Oryzias latipes: one gene and its partner. The main gene of each other region encodes a partner of the protein of the gene in region 2 in a complex. Links are inferred from orthologs where the notes say so. Each region holds a gene or a part of one and is shown on either strand. Other genes may lie near its edges.

Region 1 (10,521 bases), on a different chromosome or scaffold from region 2:
TCGGTTTTATATTTGTATTTCGGCTGAAGTTAAATTAGTAAAGCCAGTTCCGCACTACAGTCAGTACGGAGTCGGCTGTCATGGCAACAACAGCGTTTTTTTAATGCTGTTCTTTGTTGTTTCTATTTTTATTGTTAGTTTTTGCTCGTTTTGAGAGCCTCCATACAGCGTGTACTTTCATTATATATAAAGATCTATGTGGAAACGCGTCAGGTAGACTGTAAAAATCCCAGTTACAGACTACAGAAACGTCATTTTACCATGTAACTTTCAGTGCTGCTGTTGAACTGATTTTTTTTTTAAACCAAATATATGGTGACACCCAAGACTACTTGGTGGATTATTACATACAGAAAGCAGTTAGTCTTCAATCTATCAATAGCATTTTGAATCAAATTGATGCTGTGAAACAGGGAAACAATTGTTAAGGGGTCAAAGCAGGACAGAGTAAAGACACGGTTTGACCCTGCATTTGACCTTAGATCAGTAAATGATGCCATCATGACTGGGTAACTTTTGAATAAATTAAGTAGACTCTTATTAGATGCTCAGCTTCCAAAGATTCCCTATTTTTATGTTGTATACTTGTGATGATTTGACGGCATTACTCTGAGATTTAAGTACGTTTTTTCTAAATCTCCTTTCGCAGTTCTTTTTTTGTTGCACGGTCCCCCTTCCCACCCCCCCTTGAAGCCCTGCAGGACCGTCGGGTCTCCTAGGAACCTGCCAACATGCCAGCTGCTCTTCAAGATTCCAGCCAGATGATCTGTGAAGTCTGGGCGAGCAACGTGGGGGAAGAGATGAGGAAGATACGGCAAATTATCCAAAGCTACAACTACGTTGCCATGGTTACAGGCTCTCCTTTCTTTGTTGACAGTTGAATTCTAAAAAGAAAAACAAAGAACGTAAATGTGGTGATTGCAAATGTGTGCTAGTCTCTTCCTTTCCTGGAGTGTCCTAACCCTGCATTTCTGTGTCTTAGGACACGGAGTTTCCCGGAGTCGTGGTCCGACCCATAGGCGAGTTTCGCAGTACGGTAGATTACCAGTACCAGCTGCTGCGGTGCAACGTGGATCTGCTGAAGATCATCCAGCTTGGTCTCACATTCATGAACGAGGATGGGGATTACCCCCCCGGCACGACCACGTGGCAATTCAACTTCAAGTTCAACCTGACGTAGGTGCTTCGTCGTCTCATGGGACTGAAAACGTTCGCTGCTTCCTGTCAACCTGCTGGCAGCCTAAGCCACTTATGTGCTATGATGACAACAGTCTTTAAAAATAATAAAAAACATAAACAGAGACGCCTGTAAATTAAACTCCAGTACGTAAGCCTTAAACAGGCTGTGAAAGATGCAATGAGCCACTTCTCCACTAGGAGACAGTATTTCACACAGAAGTTTGTGCCTCAGCTGTTCTACTGTGGTGTTAAACTGCATGAACTTTTTACTTTTTTTTTTTTATTAGATGTATTTTAATAATTAAAAAAAGGTTGATTTACATTTTTGTTTACTCCTTTTCATAAATCTCTGAAAAGTGAAAGGTTCACAGGTTTTCTAGTGAAATAAGATGATCAAGTCCTGAAATGATCCTTGATGTTCTCTAACGTTGTGTGCAGTGAGGATATGTACTCCCAGGACTCCATAGACCTGCTCCAGAACTCGGGTCTGCAGTTCAAAAAACACGAAGAAGAAGGAATCGACACGCTGTACTTCGCCGAGCTCCTCATGACGTCGGGTCTGGTTCTGTGTGAGAACGTCAAGTGGCTGTCCTTCCACAGGTCGGTTGTCTGCTGGCTTGTTCCATGAACGGGGGTGGGAGGGGGTCTTCTGTTTGATCTTTCAGAAATCATAAAATATAATTAAAATCACTTTAACCCAGTAGAACCCACGGTGACGTCAGTGTAACAGAAAATATCAGAAATGGATTCTTTGGTCCATTTGGTTTGTGGTTAAAATATGCACTTTATTTTAAACAACAAATGGGTCTGGGTACTTATGGGTTAACACCAGAATAGAGATCCAGATAAAACAATGTAAGCAGGTCAAAAACATCTCTTTTACTCTGAACTTAATCCTTGTCAGAGGAAAAACTTCTCTGGGATCTTCAGGGAGAAATTTCAGAGATTAGCTGCATGGAGCTGAATTCTGAGCTCCAGTTAAAGTTCTGCCTCTGGTTCATTCCAAATATGATCTCTGATGCTAAAGCATGAAGAGACTTGAACAGAAGCAGAACTATTTGAAAGGCTGTTGTGTGACCTCGGGACTGATGGTCAAAATCAGAAGCGGAGCAGCAGCGTTCTGGATGAACTGCTGCTTCTTTTCTGGGTCCAGACGTTACAGCAGTCTGACCTGCTGGAGACAAACTCCACAATAAACTGGTATCTTAGTCCTCTTTGGTTCTGCTGATGTTTCTTAGACGATATAATGTAGATGACGTTCAAGATTATGGAACTTTAAGTCTTTGCAGAGCTTTTTAGAGCGACCGTCACCATTTTCCCTGTCTTCCTCTGAGACAGACACGATCTAGAAAAGGTTTCTGGGATGCTGCTTCTATTCACATTGATAGTAAACTTTTGCAGAACCTCTGAAACTGTTCAATGTCTAGAGGAGTTGATTCTCTGAGTTTTTAATCATTAATAATTTTTGTTTTGTCTCAGTGGTTATGACTTTGGCTATCTGGTGAAACTCCTGACGGATGCGCGGCTTCCAGAGGAGGAACACGAGTTCTTTCAGATCTTAAACTTGTTTTTTCCTGCAATTTACGATGTGAAGTATTTGATGAAGAGCTGCAAAAGTCTGAAGGTAAGGCCTGCGGGTCACAGGGTTTATTGCTTTCTACATCCCCGAGGAACGTGGAGCCGTCTCACTCCGTCTCCGCTTGTTCCTGCAGGGGGGGTTGCAGGAAGTGGCCGATCAGCTGGAGCTGAAGAGGATTGGCCGGCAGCATCAGGCGGGGTCGGATTCGCTGCTCACGGGCATGGCTTTCTTCAGGATGAAGGAGGTACAGTCTTCATCGTTTTCCGGCTGACAGCTGTTCTGTTGCAGCTGGAAGTTTTTGTGAATCTGCTTAGATGGTTTATAAAATGTCTTTCGAGAAATGCATTTATAAATGCGTAGAATTGTAGATCTTTAGTGTTTTATGTGTGGACATACACTCACCCACTTTAGCAGCTCCACTTTGCTTGTACCCTCTTTAGCCTTCAGAACCGCCTTAATCCTCTGTGGTTTAGAATCAGCAAGGTTCTGGAAACATTCCTCAGAGACTTTGGTCCATGTTGACATGACAGCATCAGTTGCTGCAGATTTGTCAGCTGTACATCCATGATGCCGATCTCCAGTTCCACCGCATCCCAAAGGTTCTCTATTGGGTTCTGGTGACTGTGGAGGCAGTTTGAGTCCAGAGAACTCATTGTCATGTTCTAGAAACCAGTCTGAGATGATTCCAGCTTCATGACATGGAGCCTTATCCTGCTGGAAGTAGCATCAGAAGATGGTCCACTGTGGTCATGAAGGGATGGACATGGTCAGCATCAATACTCTGGTAGACTGTGGTGCTGGAACCATGCTCAGTTGGTACAAAGAAAACATCCCCACACCATGACACCACCACCACCAGCCTGAACCGTTGATACAGGGCAGGATGGATCCATGCTTTCATTTTGTTGAGGCCAGATTCTGACTCTACCATCTGAATGTGGCAGCAGAAATGGAGACTCATCAGACCAGACAACGTTTTTCCATCTTCTATGGTCCAGTTTTGGTGAGTCTGTGTGAATTGTAGCCTCAGTTTCCTGTTCTTAGCTGACAGCAGTGGTACCCGGTGTGGTCTTCTGCTGCTGTAGTCCATCTGCCTCCAGGTTGGACGGGTTGTTCTTTCATTGATGCTCTTCTGCAGACCTCTGTTGGAACCAGTGGTTCTTTGAGTTCCTGTTGTCTTCTATCAGCTGGAACCAATCTGACCTCTGGCACCAACGAGGCATTTCCATCCACAGAACTGCTGCTCTCTGGATGTTTTCTCTTTAAGGACCGTTCTTTGTAAACCCTAGAGATGGTTGTGGGTGAAAATCCCAGTAGATCAGCAGTTTCTGAAATCCTCAGACCAGCCCGTCTGGAACCAACAAGCACGTTCAGAGTCCCTTCAATCACCTTTCTTCCTCGTTCTGATGCTCGGTTTGATCGTCTGGACCATGTCTAATTAATGCACAGAGCTGCTGCCATGTGATTGGCTGGTTGGACAGGTGTGCCTAATAAAGTCGCCGCAGTTCAATAAAAAGGCTGCTTTGTTTCATTTATTTCATTTTATTTCATCTGAAAATGTGAAACTTTAGCATCAGCTGGATTATTATGAACACATCAAAAATGTCATTTCTTAATTGTCTGCAGGTTTGTGGATGTTTGGTTCAGTGTGAAGGTGGTGCAGAAATAATCCCAACAGACTCGTTTGTTTGTCTGTCGCAGCTTTTCTTCGAGGACAACATCGACGACGCCAAATACTGCGGGAGGCTGTACGGCCTCGGCTCCGGCTCCAGTCAGCCGCAGAACGGCCTCGCCGGCTCCACGGGCGATGAGGCCAACAACAAGCACTGAGCCCCCCCCCCAGAGTGTTTTAAAAGCCAACCAGCGGGTTTCTGCTCCCATCTTCTCACTAAATACCCCAATGTGAGCCCTCACCGCCTCTGCAGGCTGCAGTGGCCCCGCCCCTCATGGCAGTCAGCAGTGGCCCCCTCCCCGGGCTCGCTCTTTCTTTTAGTCACTTTTTACTTCATTTCCAAACACTTTTTAAAACGCCTCATTTGCAGCATGGGACCAGCTTCAGGATGATTCTGCCCCCCAGCAGGATCTCCTTGTAGGTTACACTCATGTAAATGAACATGTTTTAGCTCATGTCCACTCAGAAGGTGGTGGTTCTCCAGCAGACCACACTCTTCCGCTCACTGTTTTTACATTCTGCATCGTTGTCAACAGTTGTATATTAAATTGTTTTGTATTTTCAGTGTAATCGTGGAGCGTTTGGTCATTTCTGGACAATCCTTTTATTCTGTTCTTCAAACACCTCTGTGGTCAAGTCAAAGCGATGCTCAGAAATGACTCGTCAGAACCGGGATCTAGAGCCGAGTCATGTTTTAGGAAAGAGAGGACGAGCATGCTTGGGGAAACTGGGCTAAACCTGGTCCTCGGTTCTTACAGGTGGGGCAGAACAGGGGTCTTCAGCATCATCTCTGCTCCTCCTGCTGGAAGGTGGACGAAGGCGTGTTCTGCAGCAGACTAAGAGAAAAGGCAGCAGGGAAAGAAAGAACTTTGACAGAAACTTAGTGGACGTGACGGGCAGCAGAACTTTGGATCTCCTGTGTGATCAAGAGATCAGAGGAAAGAGTGCTGGGCCTCGCCGGTCGGGCCATGTTTACAACACTTATTGTGGACCCCCTCTTCCCTGGGGTGTCCTCCTCCTGGGCGGGGACGGCTGGCCCCTGCCTTGCTCCTTCCTGGACCAACCGTGGGCCGGGCGGATGGCTGCCTGGAGTGCGGGTCGGGTCTCCCTTGGGGGGTCCTGGCTCGTACCTGGGGTTTGGGCGGGGGGATGCCCGGAACTCCTCGGTGGTGATGGGGTGCTCGTCTGGGGCTGTGGGTGTTCTTCTGGGGCGGTGCCCCGCGTTGAGCCTTCCCGGCGTAGCGGTGGGGCTGCTCTCCTGTTAGGCCGGAGCAGCACTCTCTTTACCCCATCCCTCCCCTGCTCTCTGCCTCTGGGGGGCCGCAATGGTCCTGCTGGCCCTGGCCTGGGTGGCGGATGTGATCGCCCAGGGGGGGCGGTTGTCCTCCATCTGGTACCGTGCGGGTGTTGGGGAGTCTTGGTGTGGGGGTGGCTGGTCACTCTCTCTCCTTCTTTTCACATTCCACCATCCATTTTAGAAGAACATAAACACTCACCTGAGCACAGGTGTTAGCTCACCTTTGCACTAATAGTTTGCATGATTGAATGAAATATTTCACACTAGTTGGTTTAAAGGCATAAGTATGCGTGTGTGAACACTATCTGTTTTGTGTACATGTGGACATTTTTTGCAGCTAACGGGTGTGTTGATAATATTTGAGTGTGTGGACAGGCCCCGCCCTTTTTGTACTACATTTACATTTACATTTTACAGTAAACTTGTTGCTTTATGCTGCTTCATGGTCTTATCCCCCCTCCCACTATCACCCCCCCCCCCCTCTCTAACATTCCTCTCTCTTCTTCCTTTCTTTCCCTTTCCGTCCGGTCCAACACCAAAGATTTTCAAACATGATTGAAATTAATAAATTTTGGCCTCAATTACAAAAGGGGTTTATTCAGACACACCTTTGGTTTGTCAGAAGATGAATAACCCCTGTTGTTAAAGTAAAATATGTCCAACACAAGAGGCCCTCAGCTCTCATCTGTCTGCCCAGCTGTTGGACAGGACAAGTTAAAATAAATAAAAAGAGACCAGAGGAAAGAGGACAAAGCTGCTTTAAGACATCTGATCTTGATGAGGCTGGAAAGACTTGGATCCTGAAGCAGAGCAGGTAGAATGTGAGGTCCAGCGGGACAAGTCACACATCCTGCAGGTTGTTCCACCAAAACTCTGACTTTGGTCTGTTGTGTTTATCATGACTTCATGAAAGACTAAATGTGAGAAAGAGTCCAGATAATCATTTTGATTCATTTTTAACGAATGTATGTGTATAATGGAGCAGAACATATAGCAAACGTTCATCTCATCACTGAAAGAGGTCAAAGGTCTCCTGAAGGTCTTCAGGTTCGGTATGTGATGTTTTGGGACATTCACCATTGATTCTCTGATTGAAAACCCTCCAGAACCACAAAATGCTCTTTACGTAGCCACTTTCTTGTTGCCATGACGATGTGTTTGCGATCACTGACACGTTCTCTTTCCTGGAAGAGTTTCTCGTCCAAAATCTCACCATGCATGGATCCATTCATCCTTTCCTTCATAAGGACCGGTCGTTCTGTGCTCTCAGCAGAAAAACAGGCCCATAACATGATGATTCCACCCCCATGCTTCACGGTGCGTCTGTGTTCTCTTCCAAACCCAGCAAGTGGCGTTTATACCAAAGAGTTCCGTTTTGGTCTCATCTGACCACCTGACTTCCTCCTCATCCTCCGGATCATCTGGACAGGAAGGGGGGCCTTTTGGAGCACTGGAGGACGTTGTGTGTTACCATAGTAACCGGAGTTACTGTGACCCCAGCTCTCCTCAGGTCATCGATCACTTTCCCTGTGACGTTCTGGGCTGCTCCTCACCGTTCTAAAGATCACGGAGATCTTCCATGAAGCTCCAGGTGGAGAGAGATTTGAAGGGTCCAAGCAGAACCTGACCCAAACTAAAAGGTCTGTTAGGAGATGCTAATGTCTTTACATGAACAGAATTTACTAAATGTTAAACCACAAAAAATGGAGTTAATCTACTAATTAATATATAAATGATTATATGTACTGTTCTATGATAGAATCACAGTCATTATATGGGCCCAATATTTATTCACATTTAAATATATGAATGGGCAGTTTTTTTACCCCTTAGCAGATGAGTGTTCAGATGCACAGAACAAGAATCCACCTGAACATCAGATCTACAGCAGAAACCTGGACCCAGAAAGTCCGGAGCTGCAGAAAACTCCTGCGGTTCTCCCTGCTGGACTTTAGCTCAGAATGATCTTCATCAAACATCCCATAGAAACTCCCAAAATGGGCAACACGCTGACACACAAACCGTCGCCGATAACAAAAGGCAGAGGGCAGCAGAGCAGTCAGGAGAATCTGGTCTCCACTTTGGAGAAACCTTCTCAACAAGCGGGGGTCTGAGGCCCTTCCATGTTCAAGCCGGCCTCCATGTCTGTGTCCACATGCTCCACCAGCTGCTAGAGCCGAAGGACGTCCCAGAGACATCTTCCATGGTCCAGCCACGCTGAAGAACAGAGTCCTGCGAGGGGGCGGAGTCAAAGCAGGAGAAATGTCTGAGTTTGACTCCACCTGTAGCCTCCATCAGCTGCTGAAGTCACGCTTCCATGCTGTTCTAGCACCACCTAGTGGCCAAGCGTGGTAACAATCACTACCACCAAAAGTTTCCTCAAAACATTTGAACTGAACTTTTGTAATTTACCAAACATTTGGAGTTTCTTTTTTTTTACTTTGTGTAACCCTTGTGCTATCTTAGATGACCCCCCCCCCCTTCCATTGAGGTGTTCTCCCTACCATGACAAAGGTGGATAAAGGTGGAAAGATTTCATGTAATCCATGGACACCAGTGAAGATCACAAATCATTGAAGAAAAAAGGTTCATAGCACTGTCTAGTGGGTCTAGATGACCCAACTCCCAATGTTAGAGTGCCTAGGATAGAACAAGGGGTAAGAATTAGTATAATAATCAAAAATAGTTTAAATAATTAGTTTATAGTTTAACTGTTCCTCAGTTCTGAGCTCAGATCCTGAACTTTATGAGGTTTAACCACTTTTATAAATGCTATTAGTAAAAATGTAACTGTTTTCACAAACTAAAGGAAAAACTACTTTAAAATGACCAAAATGATTTTAGAGGAGCTCTGATTCAGGTGACTTTCATGTGTCCTTTATTAACCAAAACTGTACAGGTGCAGAGGTTCAGCAGCAGACGTGTTCATGTGATGAAGCGCCGATAGGCGTTCAGAATGGAGGGACTCCTCCCGTGTTTCTGCAGCAGGTCTTCGGCTTTCTGTCGCAGCGACGGACACACGGCGCCCGCAGATCGGCCGAGGTGCAAAAGCACGAGGGAACACTCCAGGACGTCTGGATGAGGAAACATCTGAGGGACGAAGAGGACGCAGTTACAGCTCCAGATCAAACACAGAACCCATGAGAGCGTGTCCAGATGGAGGAGTGGAGGCCGACCTTCAGGGTGTCGGGCAGGTCGACCAGCTGCTGCTGGTATTTGGACATCTTGGAGGACAGAGACAGAAGAGTCTCCTGATCTTCACAGCTGGAACAAAAACTTCTAGTTAACTGAATGAAGCACAAACTAGAAGAAAAAGTCCATGGCAGACGCTGCTGGACCTGACGGAAACATGACCAGGGTTAAGGTATTTCATTTATTTTACAACATAAACCAGATCAAAGTGATGTTTTTTTTAATATTTAAATGATTCAAATGATCCAACTTCCTGAACTCAAATTTCACACCATCATCGTGAAAAAAACGTGCACTTCCTGGCCTGGTCGTTGTGAGCGATGTTTGCATCAGAATCTGACCTGTGCTCTGCAGAGTTCTGGTTCCCCACAGGGAGCGGGTCTTCCTGCGCTCGGCTGTGCTGCGCCACCATGGCCGCCAGCCGCTCCCGGATCTCCTGCACCGACCTCTGCAGGCTCTGACAGGCGGCGTGCGGCTCGGACAGCAGCACTTCAAAGTCCTCCTGGCCTTCGCCCGCTGCTCCCTTTTGGACCTCCACCTGCTCCGCGGCGCTCCTCCACCAGCACTCGTACAGGCGGTGATAGCGGACCAAGGCCTGCAGGCTGCTGAGCGCAGCGCTCGCCTCAGCCTCGGTCCCCTTCAGGGTCTTTGGACGTTTCCTGGAGAACAGACCAACATCACCTAGACGACAGAAAACAGGAATGTTGTTTTAAATCCATTTTTAGAAACACAGAAATAAAATCCAAACTGAGCTCGTCTCAACGGTTCTGTGAAACGCTTCATCAGTTTTTCACGTGTTTCTTCTGTTTGTGTTCTACTTTTTTGATCTCGTACAGAAACGGCTTCAGAGAAAATGCGATTTGTTGTTTTGAGACGTTATGGGGTCAGAAGTCTGAAGCGGAGTCTGAACACGTGTGACGGCTTCAGAGGGAGGCGTGTTGGACCTTCGGGGAACAGCCGCCTGCACAGCTCTGCGGAGGCGCAGAAGAGTCCGGCGTCTCTGATCCAGGCCGCCGCCCACCACAGCTCCTTCAGCAGCTGCGCGTCGTCGTTCAGGATCCAGCTCAGCACGCCGCGGGTCAGATGGAGCGAGGCCTGCAGCAGGACCTGAGGAGAAAGCACAGACAGTTTCCTGCGTTGGACTGATGACGTTGTGCCGCCGTGGCCGTTTGGAGGTCAGTACCTGTTTCAGGGGGGCGGTGGGGGCCGGACTCTCCACGGACCTCAGCTCCTGCAGGAGAGCCTCCATGCTGCCGTCTTCTGGTGCGTTTGCAGAAATGCCAAACTCCTCCTCCCACACGTCTCTGACTCGGTCCTGGATGCTGGCGGGATGTTTTCTTGGCTCCGCCCATGTGTGGGTGGAGCTGCAGGAGGCTGCAGGGATGACCCCGGCGTCACGCAGCTCCACAGTCAGCAGCTCCGCCACGCAGAGATGCAGCCTGTGGACCTGCAGAAGGTGAAACATCTCGGTGAGAGGCTTCCTGTTCCTTTCCAGGGGGGATCAGGAGAGTGTGAGCTGCTGACCAGAAGGTCGTCCTGACCGCTCAGGACCTCCTGCGCCGTCAGCCAATCCTGAGCAGCCGCCAGATCTTTGGCGCATCG
Region 2 (11,269 bases):
TATTATCATAGAACTAATGCAAATTAAAATGCTCATTTTAGAAGCAAAACCAGCTTTTATTGGAAGTTACAGAAAGATCGAGTGGTAACAATAAAAAGCGCCAGCATCAGATTTAAGAACAGTTTTCAGGATGACTTGCAGAAAAATGCTGTTTGAGAAAAATCTTGGATGTAGTTTCCTAACTTTCATATGTTGTTTCTTTCAGAAAATTTTAAAGCAGAAACGGGGCTGAAGTTGCAAGTTTTCCCTTAAATGCAACATAATGTACCTCAACATTTCACAAACATCTTTGACAAAAAAAGGGTAGCAAGAAAGAAATTTGTCTCAGTCAATATTTGAGCCAGTTGCTCATATAAAATGAAGTAATGTACTAGGCGTCCAAATGAGTCAGGCTTGAAAATCAGATTTTTAAGGTTTTTTATAAAAGTGTACAGTTTTGACAACAACCCTATCTTTAGAAAAACAAACTAAAGCAAAAGAAAAACATCTCTTATTTTAAGCCTCTCCAGTGCATAGCTTTAGCACCAAATTTGGCAAAAAACACCAAGTGAGTCCATTTGTGTCCATTGGAACCACACCCCCTCACTGTGGATTGAAGCTCCATCACTGTGGAGCAAGTGGGATGCCTCTAGCATCGGTAACTTGGCCTTCCTGCAAGTTCTTCACTAGTTGTGCGAGCCAGCGCTTGGTGGTGGTGTCGTCCTTCAGCACCTGTGCAAAGGTGTTGTCCTTTAACTGGTCTGGTAGACACTGACGAAGGGCCTCTCTGGCTCTGAGAAAAGAAAACCAAATGTCAAATCACTGTAGGACATATGTAACTTCTCATATATCAGCCAATCAGAAAATAAACATTTGTTTATACAGCATTTTTAAAAGTTCTAAAAAAAAAAAAAGCTGATCATTGTAAATCTTTTATCACTTTTGATTAATTCAGACAACTGTTACCCTTCTTTTCCAAGTTTCATTATCCCAAAAATGCATGTTTCATCCAAAATAGGAAAGAAAGAAATATCTGAAGGCATTATGTGGAATTCCCATTTACCGGTAAGTTGCTATATGCTTGTTTTTGCAGCACTTTTAACCAGTAGAAACACATTAAGTAATGATAGTTGCAAAAAACACAGATCAAATTCTATTTTTTTTTTTGCAATCAAAATAGTTGTTTTCCAGGAACTTTAGGATAAATAAAAAAGGCAAATTTAGTCACGGAGACTGTTTTACCTTAGGTTATCAGAGAGGCGAAGATAGCAGCGGACAACGTGTTTCAGCAGACGAGCTGATGGCTCTTTGGAGAGCTGCAGCACCATCTTGCCCTGCACAGATAAAATGATCGTATTATTGTGGTGTGTAGCATACAGTCAGGACCGTAAATATTTGGATAGACACATTCTTTATAATTTAGTTTCTGTACATTACCACAGTGAGTTTTAAATAAAACTTAGATGCCGTTGAAGTGCAGACTTTCAGCTTTTATTCCATGGGTTGAACAAAAAGATTGCATAAAAATGTGAAAAACTAAAGCATTTTTTAAACACAATCCCTTCATTTCATGGGCTCGTAAATAATTGGATAATTGACTTCCATGCTATTGCATGGGCAGGTGTGGGTAATTCCCTTGTTATGTCATTATGAGTGAAGCCGATAAAAGGCCTGGAGAAGATTAGAGGACTCATGCTTGCATTTGGAAGATTTTTCTGTGAACAGACAACATGCGGTCAAAGGAGCTCTCCATGCAGGGGAAAAGAGCCATCATTAAGCTGAGAAAACAGAAAAAAAACATGCCAGAAATTGCTACAGTATTAGGAGTGGCAAAATCAACAGTGTGGTACATCCTGAGAAAGACAGAAAGCACTGGTGAACTCAGCAACGCAAAAAGACCTGGGGCCTCATTTATAAACGTTGCGTACGCACAAAAGAAGGCGTACGCCACTCTCTACGCAATAATTGAGATTTATAAAAAGCAAACTTGACGGGAAAATGTGCGGTCCTTCACGCAAGCTCTGACCCAGGCGTACGCACAAAAACGGGTGAAATGAGAAACGGCGACACCGTCGGCAGATGGAAGAAACACATGAAAGTGAAAATGACAATACTGCCTCTCAGAAATAACATGAAGACTTCACAAAGCAAGTCTTACAATTAACAGCTACACGAACACCCGTTTGATCGATCAGCAGTGAAACAAACAAAAAAATCAAACGAAAATTACAACAGAAATTCAAATGAACACATATTTGCAAAAAGAAAAGTGAAATATGTTCTACAATATTGGCATGTAGTGCAATTCATCCTCATAAACAATATAGTTAACAGAACGAAATAATGTACAAAACTGATATTCTCGTTAATGTGTCCGTCTGGCGGAGCAGATATTGGTGCAATTAGACAGACAGACAGACAGACATTAATTGTCCACTGGTGAAAGTTGTTTTCATATTAAAACATTTCTTCATAAGGCATAAGCTATGGAATTATGGTATTCATGCATATGCCTTTAGTTTGTTTTATTTTTGATAAAACAATGTATAGCGTATGTCTCAACCATTCAGAAAGCAACAAGAAATTACATTTGCGCTGATCAATTTCCCATTTCCACGTCGATTATTACCGACATCTGTAGCTTGTCAGATGTAATTAAATGGATGGAAATAAAATGCCCCATCACAATGCGTAATGACGCTCAATGGCTTATCTTGCGCTCTTAGAAGATGTGGCAAATGGAAGAATTCGGAGTGAACGCATATTTAGACAGCAAGAAGACTTCCTGGCAAACGAGGATGAGTGGCTTATGAGCCGGTTCCGACTTCCTCGAGCTGTCCGGCGGTTCGGCAAGATGGCGGACCGCGAGCATACAGTGTTCTAAACTCTGCAGAAGTTTGCGTGCCAAACCCTGTCTATTAGTAACAAGACAACAAATGAATACACTGACTGACTACCGGTAAGAGAGCTTGCTTAAAAAAAAAAATAAAGAAAAAAAAAACGAACTTAATATTACTTACTCGCTCTGGGAGTTCCTGCTGGGGAAGATCTTTCAATCCACCACTATTTGCGACTGCTAGCTAGCTATTGCTAACGCCATGCCGAAACGAGATAAAATCAAGGGAACATGATAATGGACACAGATGAAGAGGGCGCAGGTTCTGCTTGTGCACTGCTGCTTGAATCTCCTGCTTCAAGTCCTCTGTCAAAGAAACAGTGTTCAGGAAAAAAAGAAGAACAGGTGTCAAATGCTGATATTTTACATGCAATTCGCGAATTAACGGGCAGATTTGCTTCCCTTGAAGAAAAGATCTGCAGAAACACTGCAGATATTGTAACCATCAAAGAAGTGGTGGAAGGCTTGGATCACCAGGTTAAAAAAAGCGAGGAAAGGATGCAAGAGGTGAATCACAGATTTTCAGATCTGGAGATGAAGACCGATGAGATGGAACGGTACAGTCGCAGGTGGAATCTGAAGATGTTCAACCTTCCTTAATCCACAAATGAAACAACGGAGGAAACAAGAGGAAAAGTTTTTGAGGTTTTTGCCCAGATAGCTCCAGAAGAAAGGCAGAAATTTGGCTTTCTGATTGACACAGTGCATCGCGTGGGACAGCGTAAAGATGAAAGCAGGCCTCGACCAGTCATCATTCAATTCACATTGCGAGTCTTCAGGCAGAAAATCTGGAGGCGTCAAAGGATGCTGCAGTCATGAAGGAAAAGAAGCTTCGCATCGCCGAAGATTTAACCTTCCGTGAAAGGCAGAACAGAGGAAAGATCTGGCCGTTGGTGGAAAAAGCTCGGAAAGAAGGAAAGAAAGCCACCTGGAGAGGACAGGATGCCATCATCGATGGAAAGAGAGTTTCAGCTGAAAATCTAAAAAACTGATTGATGTAACTGTAAAGGTCGGTAATTAAGAAATATTCCCTTTGCAACAGTCATTTGTTGGCTTAGAATTTACCTTATGAAGGCATGTCAAACTTTCAACAAGTTTTTGTTTCCAACTTATCCCTAAAGCTAGGTAAGTTGGTATAGAATTGTTATTTGTTCTTATTTTCAAGTTCTGTGTTCTATGAGCTATGACTGATTTTAAGTTTAACTCTTTAAAAATAATTTCTTTAAATGTTAGGGGACTACGTGATACAACCAAGAGAAAAGCATTATTTCTTTTTCTTAGAAGAACTGGCGGAAATATTTTTCTGTTGCAAGAAACTCATTCTTGTGGGTTGGATGAAAAATTTTGGAAATCTAAAAAAAAAAAAAAAAAAAAAAAAAAAAAAAAAAAAAAAAATCCTCGAGCTGTCCTGTTGGACCTCTGCGGGCTTTTGGGGGTATGTCACCCGGTGCATCTGGCGCGTCGGTGTTCCCCCTGCGCCTCAGTCACCACACCACTTAAAAGGGATTCCCCAATTATTACCGCCAGTCTCTCATCAAGAGAGGTCAGCTCAGGCTGTCATTGCCAACAAAGGGTTTTCCACCAAATATTAGTAATGACCATTTTGTTTTCAGTTATTTAATTTGTCCAATTACTTAGGAGCCCAAGAAATGAAGGGATTGTGTTTAAAAAATGCTTTAGTTTTTCACATTTTTATACAATCTTTTTGTTCAACCAAGGCTGAAAGTCTGCACTTCAATGGCATCTGAGTTGATCTGAGAGACACGTTAGAAAAAACGTGTCTCTGTCCAAATATTTATGGTCTTGACTGTACATCTTTATCACAACAATGCTATAGGTGCACAACACAAAAATCCTAAAATACTTACAAGAATCATGGCGACATGGGAAAAACGTTCATAAGTCTGACATATGTAAGCCAACCCAGTGTCATCCAGCAGGATCTTTTGCAGTATGAAAGTAGCAACCTGATAAAAAAAAAAGAATTATAGTCAATGGTAGAAACATGAGTTAAATTCATACCATAGATAAATGCATGAGAGTAGGTTTTAGAAAACCAAAACCCAAATCTGTTAACACATATTTTGAATGTTTGACTCCAAAATCCATTTTTTTCTTCCTGCTTGATAAAAACTGCTTTTGATTTCATTGGTAATTACCGTCTTGGAGAGTTCACTTCCAGATTCCATGATGCGAAGACAGAGTGGGATGATTTCCGTAGTAAGAAGGAAGTTTATCACTTCTTGTTCATCGGTTTTCACCAATGCACCTGTCAAGAACACACAAACAAATCAAGATCTGACATAAACAGAATTATCAGAGCAATACCTAAAAGAGAAGACTTTTTAAATTAAAAGTAAAATCAACAAAAACATGATCTCAGCAGGAGAAATTACCTATGACTCCTAGACTGGTAAGTCGCAGGTACTCAAATGGACGCGTTTTACTCACAGTGTGCAGAAAAGGGTAAAGGAAAAGAGGAATATGGGCAGCTAGAAATGCTGACCTGGTGTGGACAAAACAAATAAAATCATATTAATCAATGTAACACATTAAACCTTGCAAATGGAAATAAGTTCGTTTTTTTTTTTAAATTATAGTGAATTGAGGAATTACATAACAAAACCTTAATATTAAACAATTTATTTAGACCATGGCCTTAATAAAAATGAAAATACTATATTTATTATCTTTTAACCGCTTTAAACTGAAGATCTGCAAAGGCTAAATGCTGGAAAAATCCACTATTCTGTATGATGTATGTATTAAAAGTGACTGATGACTGTTACTTTTTAAACAAATAATAAACAAATAAATAAAACAGATTGTGGTCTGTTACCCCTTTAAAACATTATAAGAGCAGTTAATTATTAGAATTACTAAAAATAAAAAATAAAAATCTGATTTTTCAGTAACAATAACTATCTTGTTACCGTGTCTCTGGATGTGAGGCAACACACTGCAAAAGTGCCAGGGCATTACACACTCTATTTGACTGGTGGGCTGTAAGGGTTGGTGGGTTAATAGACGGATAGATGTTTACTATTTCCTGAAAAAAAAAAAAAGGAGGACAATTTAATTAACAAAAGGAGTTGTTTAACACCACTACAAAAATAAAGACCATACAAGAGGCACAGATGCACAAACAGTCCCAATGGGATGACCTGTGTCAAATGAACAGGTGGACCAATACCTGCAACAGGGCAGCAATGGTGCCACATGAATGCCAGAGCATTGGGGCCAAGTCTGGCACGGATTCTCGCTTCTTGCTGAGCTCCAGCAAAGCATTCTCTCTAGTCTCTGGACTGGACAACTCATTGATCCACTGGTAAATCTTCTCACGGTCTACTTGGGCCAGGGCTGTGACGTTGGTTACAGCCTTTGATAGGAAGAAAATATCAATCCATTCGCAATCAATTCTTTAAACAAGCAAACAAACGAAACACTCAAGAACAAAAACATTACGCTAATTAAGATATATGTAACCTACGTTTAATTTCCCCCTTCTGCAAACCCAAATCATGAAGAGGAAATGACAGCGTGTAAATTTGTTAAATGTCTGCTATGACAAATTGGGGCAAAATCAAATTATTTGTCAATTTAACTACAAAAACGTCTCATGATTTGCCAACTGCAATACATGTATACCAAAACCATACTGTACTACATTTGTACGAGGCTTTCATTAATATTATGCAGTCTTTCTTTGAAAACTGCAAAGAGAAGTTCTGCTTTAAAATTAATTCAATAAAGAAAGCTGAAATTTGGGAGGAAAAAAAAGATTTTCGATGTACTTAGGCGAAATTGGAGGGAACGTCACCGTGAGAGCGATGCAATAGTTTGATACTCACCGCTCCCGTTGCCAACATTTTGGAAAGCTTTTCGGGATCTCAAAATACTCTTTTAATAGAAAGTTCGTCAGTTTGCACCTCTTCGCAATACTCGACCCTGAAATCTCACCGTAAGAACCATGGACATATGCTTACGAACTGCTAGCTTAGCTAGTTGCTAGGTGCTCTAACAAATGGGATCCACAACATGCGTAACTTCACATAACTTCAATCGAAATCCCAACACTGAGAACTACAGAAGCACAAAAAGAAATTATTGTCGTTATAGTATCAATAAACCAAGTTTACACTGGCATTTTTTTCAATCTCGCGTTTGATTTTTTTTCCTCGGCAGGGACAACTTCGCTACAAACAACGTCTCAGATATCGCGAGAGGAGAACGGAGCGCAATCTCGTTCATCATTTCCGTTGTAAATGTTCCCATTCCCGCCATCATCGCCCGTTGCTGTGAGGCGTAGTGTGCTGCTCTACTTGCAGCAAACATACAGAACAGCAGGTGAATGCCGGCAAAACCTTTTTTATGCTCTCGAAGGATCTGCGAAGTCAAGTCCACATTCTATAGGTTTGGAACCACCACCGTGATCCTAGACAGGTAATGAAATGACGATGGCACTGAATGTGGTTGTTTTCATCACCAAATTACTGTGTTAGCTAGCTCCCGCTAGCTTAGGAACCAGTGTTGCTAATGTGGGCCTCTTCCATCATATTAAGCGTCTGTTAAAGAAACAAAAACGCCACTGCATGCTTCACATTTAATATTAGATTCATGTTATTCGACTAGTTCGTTGATAGACTGATATTTTTGTTTATATCGTTTGAATCTATGGTTCTGGCCGCGCCACGAGCATCACAACGCAGCTCAAAATGTGTTGCTTCTCCTCTGCAACATTGGAGTTGTCAGTGTTTGTTGTTTAAATGCAGGCTCTACACAAACATGTTTAAAACTAAAATTCAATGACCGTTCAGGATATGCAGTTTGTTATATTTTGTGATTTTTGTGGTGCAGTAATTCATATTGTACTGTTATGCTAACTTGTCACTTTGGATTATGAAGTCCTACCTTTTTCCTTTACTTCAAACCGCATTTGCCATGTTGGCTACGTATCTACATATCTCATATTAGTTTTGTTTCTGTATCTTTTATTTATTTATTATTATAATTTTGAATAACACATTTCAAGTTTTTAGCAAATGTTATTGTTGGCTACAAATTAAATCACTTATAATCTTCAGAATGGCACGTCGGTGCTGCATGTTCTGTAAAAAAAACAATATAGCAAACTAGTTACAAAAATACTAACTTCTTGTTATGTGGCATTTAGCAATGGTAAAAATATTCATTTAAACTGTTTATTTGGTTAAATAGCAATAGCAGTCATAAAAGTGAGGTTGTTTTTGCCATTATAGGCTACCCGTGTGACTATTTCTTGACATGTTTATTTCTTTTGTACATCTTAAATTCAGACCTAACAAGTGGACCATCAGGATAGCAAGCCATGTCAACTTTTGTGCCCAAACTCTCCAGTGGTAGCACTGTCAAGATTCGCTTTAACACCATTGAGCTGGGCGGCACCAAGTGGAAAGAGGGAACCTTTGAAATTTTGGAAAAGGATAACAGAGTTAATCTCTGTTTAAGGTTCAGCTGTGGTGGCGCTGCCAAAACTTTCCAGGTAATTTCTCTTTAATGTATTTTATCTGTATGCTTGTTGGTGTTGTGACAGATATTTAGCATTAGGCATGATGTTTCTGTCATCCCTACTTAGACATTTTTTTAAATTAGTGTAATTTATTCCATTTTGGATAGAACTACACCTATTATTTTATCTCAATTAAAAATTTCAAGCACATCATATGTTGCTGGAGGAAGTTAAATTTCCGTAAATTCAGGTGAACACCTTGCTTGTTTACTTACTGCCACTAAGGGGTGTATTTTCACATCAGCAAAGATCTGATACAAAACCTAAAACTAATTTAGCACATCATTTACATCTTTAAAACAATGTAGTTTCACTATAGGAAAGTCCTGAGCCTTTATTTTGTTGAACACTTGTAAAAATATAAAGTTCACAGTTGAAAGTACCAAGCCCTCAACTTTAATTGCTTAAAAGTAAAATTTCTAATATTTTGTAATTTTGTTGTGTAACAAATCAAAATATTCACCCCTGTGTGAGGAATCAGCTTGTGCTGTAATGTAATTCAGTTTTATGTTATTTTATAATAAACATATGTAAAACATAATTCTCTTTCACAGAGCCTTTAGTGTTGTAGAAAAGCAGAAGTAAAATATAACTTTTCTGAGTTGTTTTATCGACATCGCTTTAACCCTTTCTATGTTAATCAGGTGATACTGACATAAATATGCTATCTGTTAAAAAGGAAATCAGCAGATGAAAAGTTAACATTGTTTTTGAAGTGCTTTGGTGTCTATCTCTTACATGTGTTTTTTTTAAAGAGTGTATTGTTTTTTTCAGCTGAACCATAATGTGAAAAGCATTTCTCAGAATCCAAATCGGATCATGTTGACTCTGAAGGACAATGTTGTCATTTACTTGGATAAGATGCCTCAGCCATTGGTTCAGAGGACAAAGGAGTATCTGGAAAAACTGAAACAGGGAAAATCTGGTAATTACACTACTTCTCTTTTTTTAACCCAACAAAAACTTTATGTAAAATATTCCTTAAATTATTGACTGCCTAGATTGAAATTTAATTTGTCTGTCAAAACCCCTTTTTATTTTTCCAAGAACTGTATAACTGCTAAAATACTCAATCTTATTTTATTTAGATTCACAAGTTCAAAATTCAGAAAGGTTTGGTCCACTTTTTAAAAATGTCCATGCCAAAAACATTTTTGTTTGAATATGAATATATATTTAGTTATGTTTTCCAAGTAGAAAGTTGTTCTGTACTTTTTTAAGCCATCATTGCTGAATAAAAACCAGTTGCAAATCAGTCATAAAAATTAAATGTAATCAATATGCTATTGTGTCTTCGGTGCATTTTTGCAGAAAACCTTTATTCTTTAAGTAACTGATTTTATTATCATTTTTGTTCTCATCTTTTCTATCTCTTCATGTAGTTTTAAAGTCCTCCTATGGAAGTGCAAACCTAAGCGTACTTGGCAACCGCTCTATGAAAAATGAGACCAACGTATCAGGAGAGAGACAGGTGAGCAAAGCAACTTTGACTTTGATGACACTGAATGTATAATAGAACTGGACTGAGTGACCCCTCCGCCCTTCAAATTCCAAACAGGAAGTACCTGCAGGCCCCCACCTTGAATGTTCAAAATTAACACTTGACAGAGTCTCCCAAGTCCACTTTCAGTGGAAGGGGTGTGGACTTCTAATAATCTCACTCCTGATTGGTGACAGCAGTTGCTATAGACAGATTGATTTAGACCGATTCTGCCCAATCCCTGCTTACTGACCTTGTCTGGCTACAAATGGTGGTGCAAAAATGGCGACAGAGTTGGCAGAGTTTTCTATGAGTGACGCCACACTCCCTCGTCCAGTTCTCTTATACAAGTTGAGTAGGGCTGCACGATATGAGGAAAACTCGCGATATGCAATATTGGTGATTAATATCGCGATAACGATATAATTTGCGGTATATAAACAAATAGCCAAACAACCAAAAACATCATTTACATTTCACTGCAACAGTTTAAAAATGATACTCCAAATGACCCTGGTCGACGTAGGAGGCAAACATCAAACATAAAAGGGCTCCATCTGATTGATCAACAAGGTAAACGGGTCCTTCCGATTGGTTAAATGCATAAAGGGATTAATTTCATTTGTTCACTATTTCAGGCTGCCATGAGTTTGTTTTTGCACATTTGAGGTAACCGTTTATTGCGATTTTCGCCGTCTTTTGCGGTATGCATATTGCACAGCTTGATGTCGCGATAACGATAAATTTGCGGTATATTGTGCAGGCCTAAAGTTGAGGATTAAATAATAATGCAGACTCAGCATTTCAGCCAAAATTGTTTTAGACAACACCAAGGCGACAGAGTATAGAGGGCCGGGAAGATACAACACCAAGAAAGCCTCTGAGCAGCCCTAGCAGGGCAGCTGCCACTCCAACACGCATTGGACTGCTGGAAAACAGGTGTGATCGACTTTTATCACGTGGTTCTACATTTTTTTTTTCCATTTATTTGGTTTGGAAAAATGTTGTGACTTTTTGTTTCAGAGGTGAGAAAAGAAAGAGACTCCTCACTTCTGAAAGTGACCTTAATGAAGACTACCCCAAGGAAAATGACTCCTCCAGGTGAGCCCAGTAGTGTGTGTTGCAACTGACACAATCCTCAGAATCATTGTCCTTTTAGAAGTCTGAGTTTCTACAATCCAGAATCATTTAGATTTTCCCCCCACACATTTGTAGCAACAACAAGGCAACTTCAGAAACACCCAGGAAGTTTCTTCTGAGCTGCAAGGAAAAGCTCAAACTTTCAGAGGAGAACAGGAGCGCAGGTAAACTGCCATGTCCACGGATCACTAAAGACTTCATGTGTTTTATAAAGATGGCTGTCTTG

Evidence for each region. The genes of interacting proteins can lie anywhere in the genome.
Region 1: cnot9 (region 2) and cnot8 share a complex: the UniProt entries of both Homo sapiens proteins name them as parts of the CCR4-NOT complex. The link is inferred for Oryzias latipes from reciprocal best matches to the Homo sapiens genes CNOT9 and CNOT8.

Annotation. Positions count from the first base shown.
Region 1 is NC_019872.2:29,381,174-29,391,694, forward strand, and holds the end of cnot8 (CCR4-NOT transcription complex subunit 8), read left to right. Parts: intron 1-649; 5' UTR 650-731; coding exon 732-848; intron 849-982; coding exon 983-1,176; intron 1,177-1,617; coding exon 1,618-1,779; intron 1,780-2,658; coding exon 2,659-2,803; intron 2,804-2,891; coding exon 2,892-3,002; intron 3,003-4,459; coding exon 4,460-4,588; 3' UTR 4,589-5,000; downstream 5,001-10,521. Other genes in the region: gemin5 (gem-associated protein 5), read right to left, coding at 8,653-8,817, 8,904-8,991, 9,261-9,600, 9,864-10,026, 10,103-10,366, 10,444-10,521. UniProt on the Homo sapiens protein: Has 3'-5' poly(A) exoribonuclease activity for synthetic poly(A) RNA substrate. Its function seems to be partially redundant with that of CNOT7.
Region 2 is NC_019879.2:16,421,197-16,432,465, forward strand, and holds cnot9 (CCR4-NOT transcription complex subunit 9), read right to left. Parts: upstream 7,105-11,269; 5' UTR 6,745-7,104; coding exon 6,727-6,744; intron 6,255-6,726; coding exon 6,069-6,254; intron 5,925-6,068; coding exon 5,809-5,924; intron 5,382-5,808; coding exon 5,272-5,381; intron 5,145-5,271; coding exon 5,035-5,144; intron 4,843-5,034; coding exon 4,744-4,842; intron 1,314-4,743; coding exon 1,222-1,313; intron 773-1,221; coding exon 604-772; 3' UTR 36-603; downstream 1-35. Other genes in the region: usp37 (ubiquitin carboxyl-terminal hydrolase 37), read left to right, coding at 8,223-8,396, 9,198-9,348, 9,806-9,894, 10,727-10,842, 10,927-11,004, 11,119-11,207. UniProt on the Homo sapiens protein: Component of the CCR4-NOT complex which is one of the major cellular mRNA deadenylases and is linked to various cellular processes including bulk mRNA degradation, miRNA-mediated repression, translational repression during translational initiation and general transcription regulation.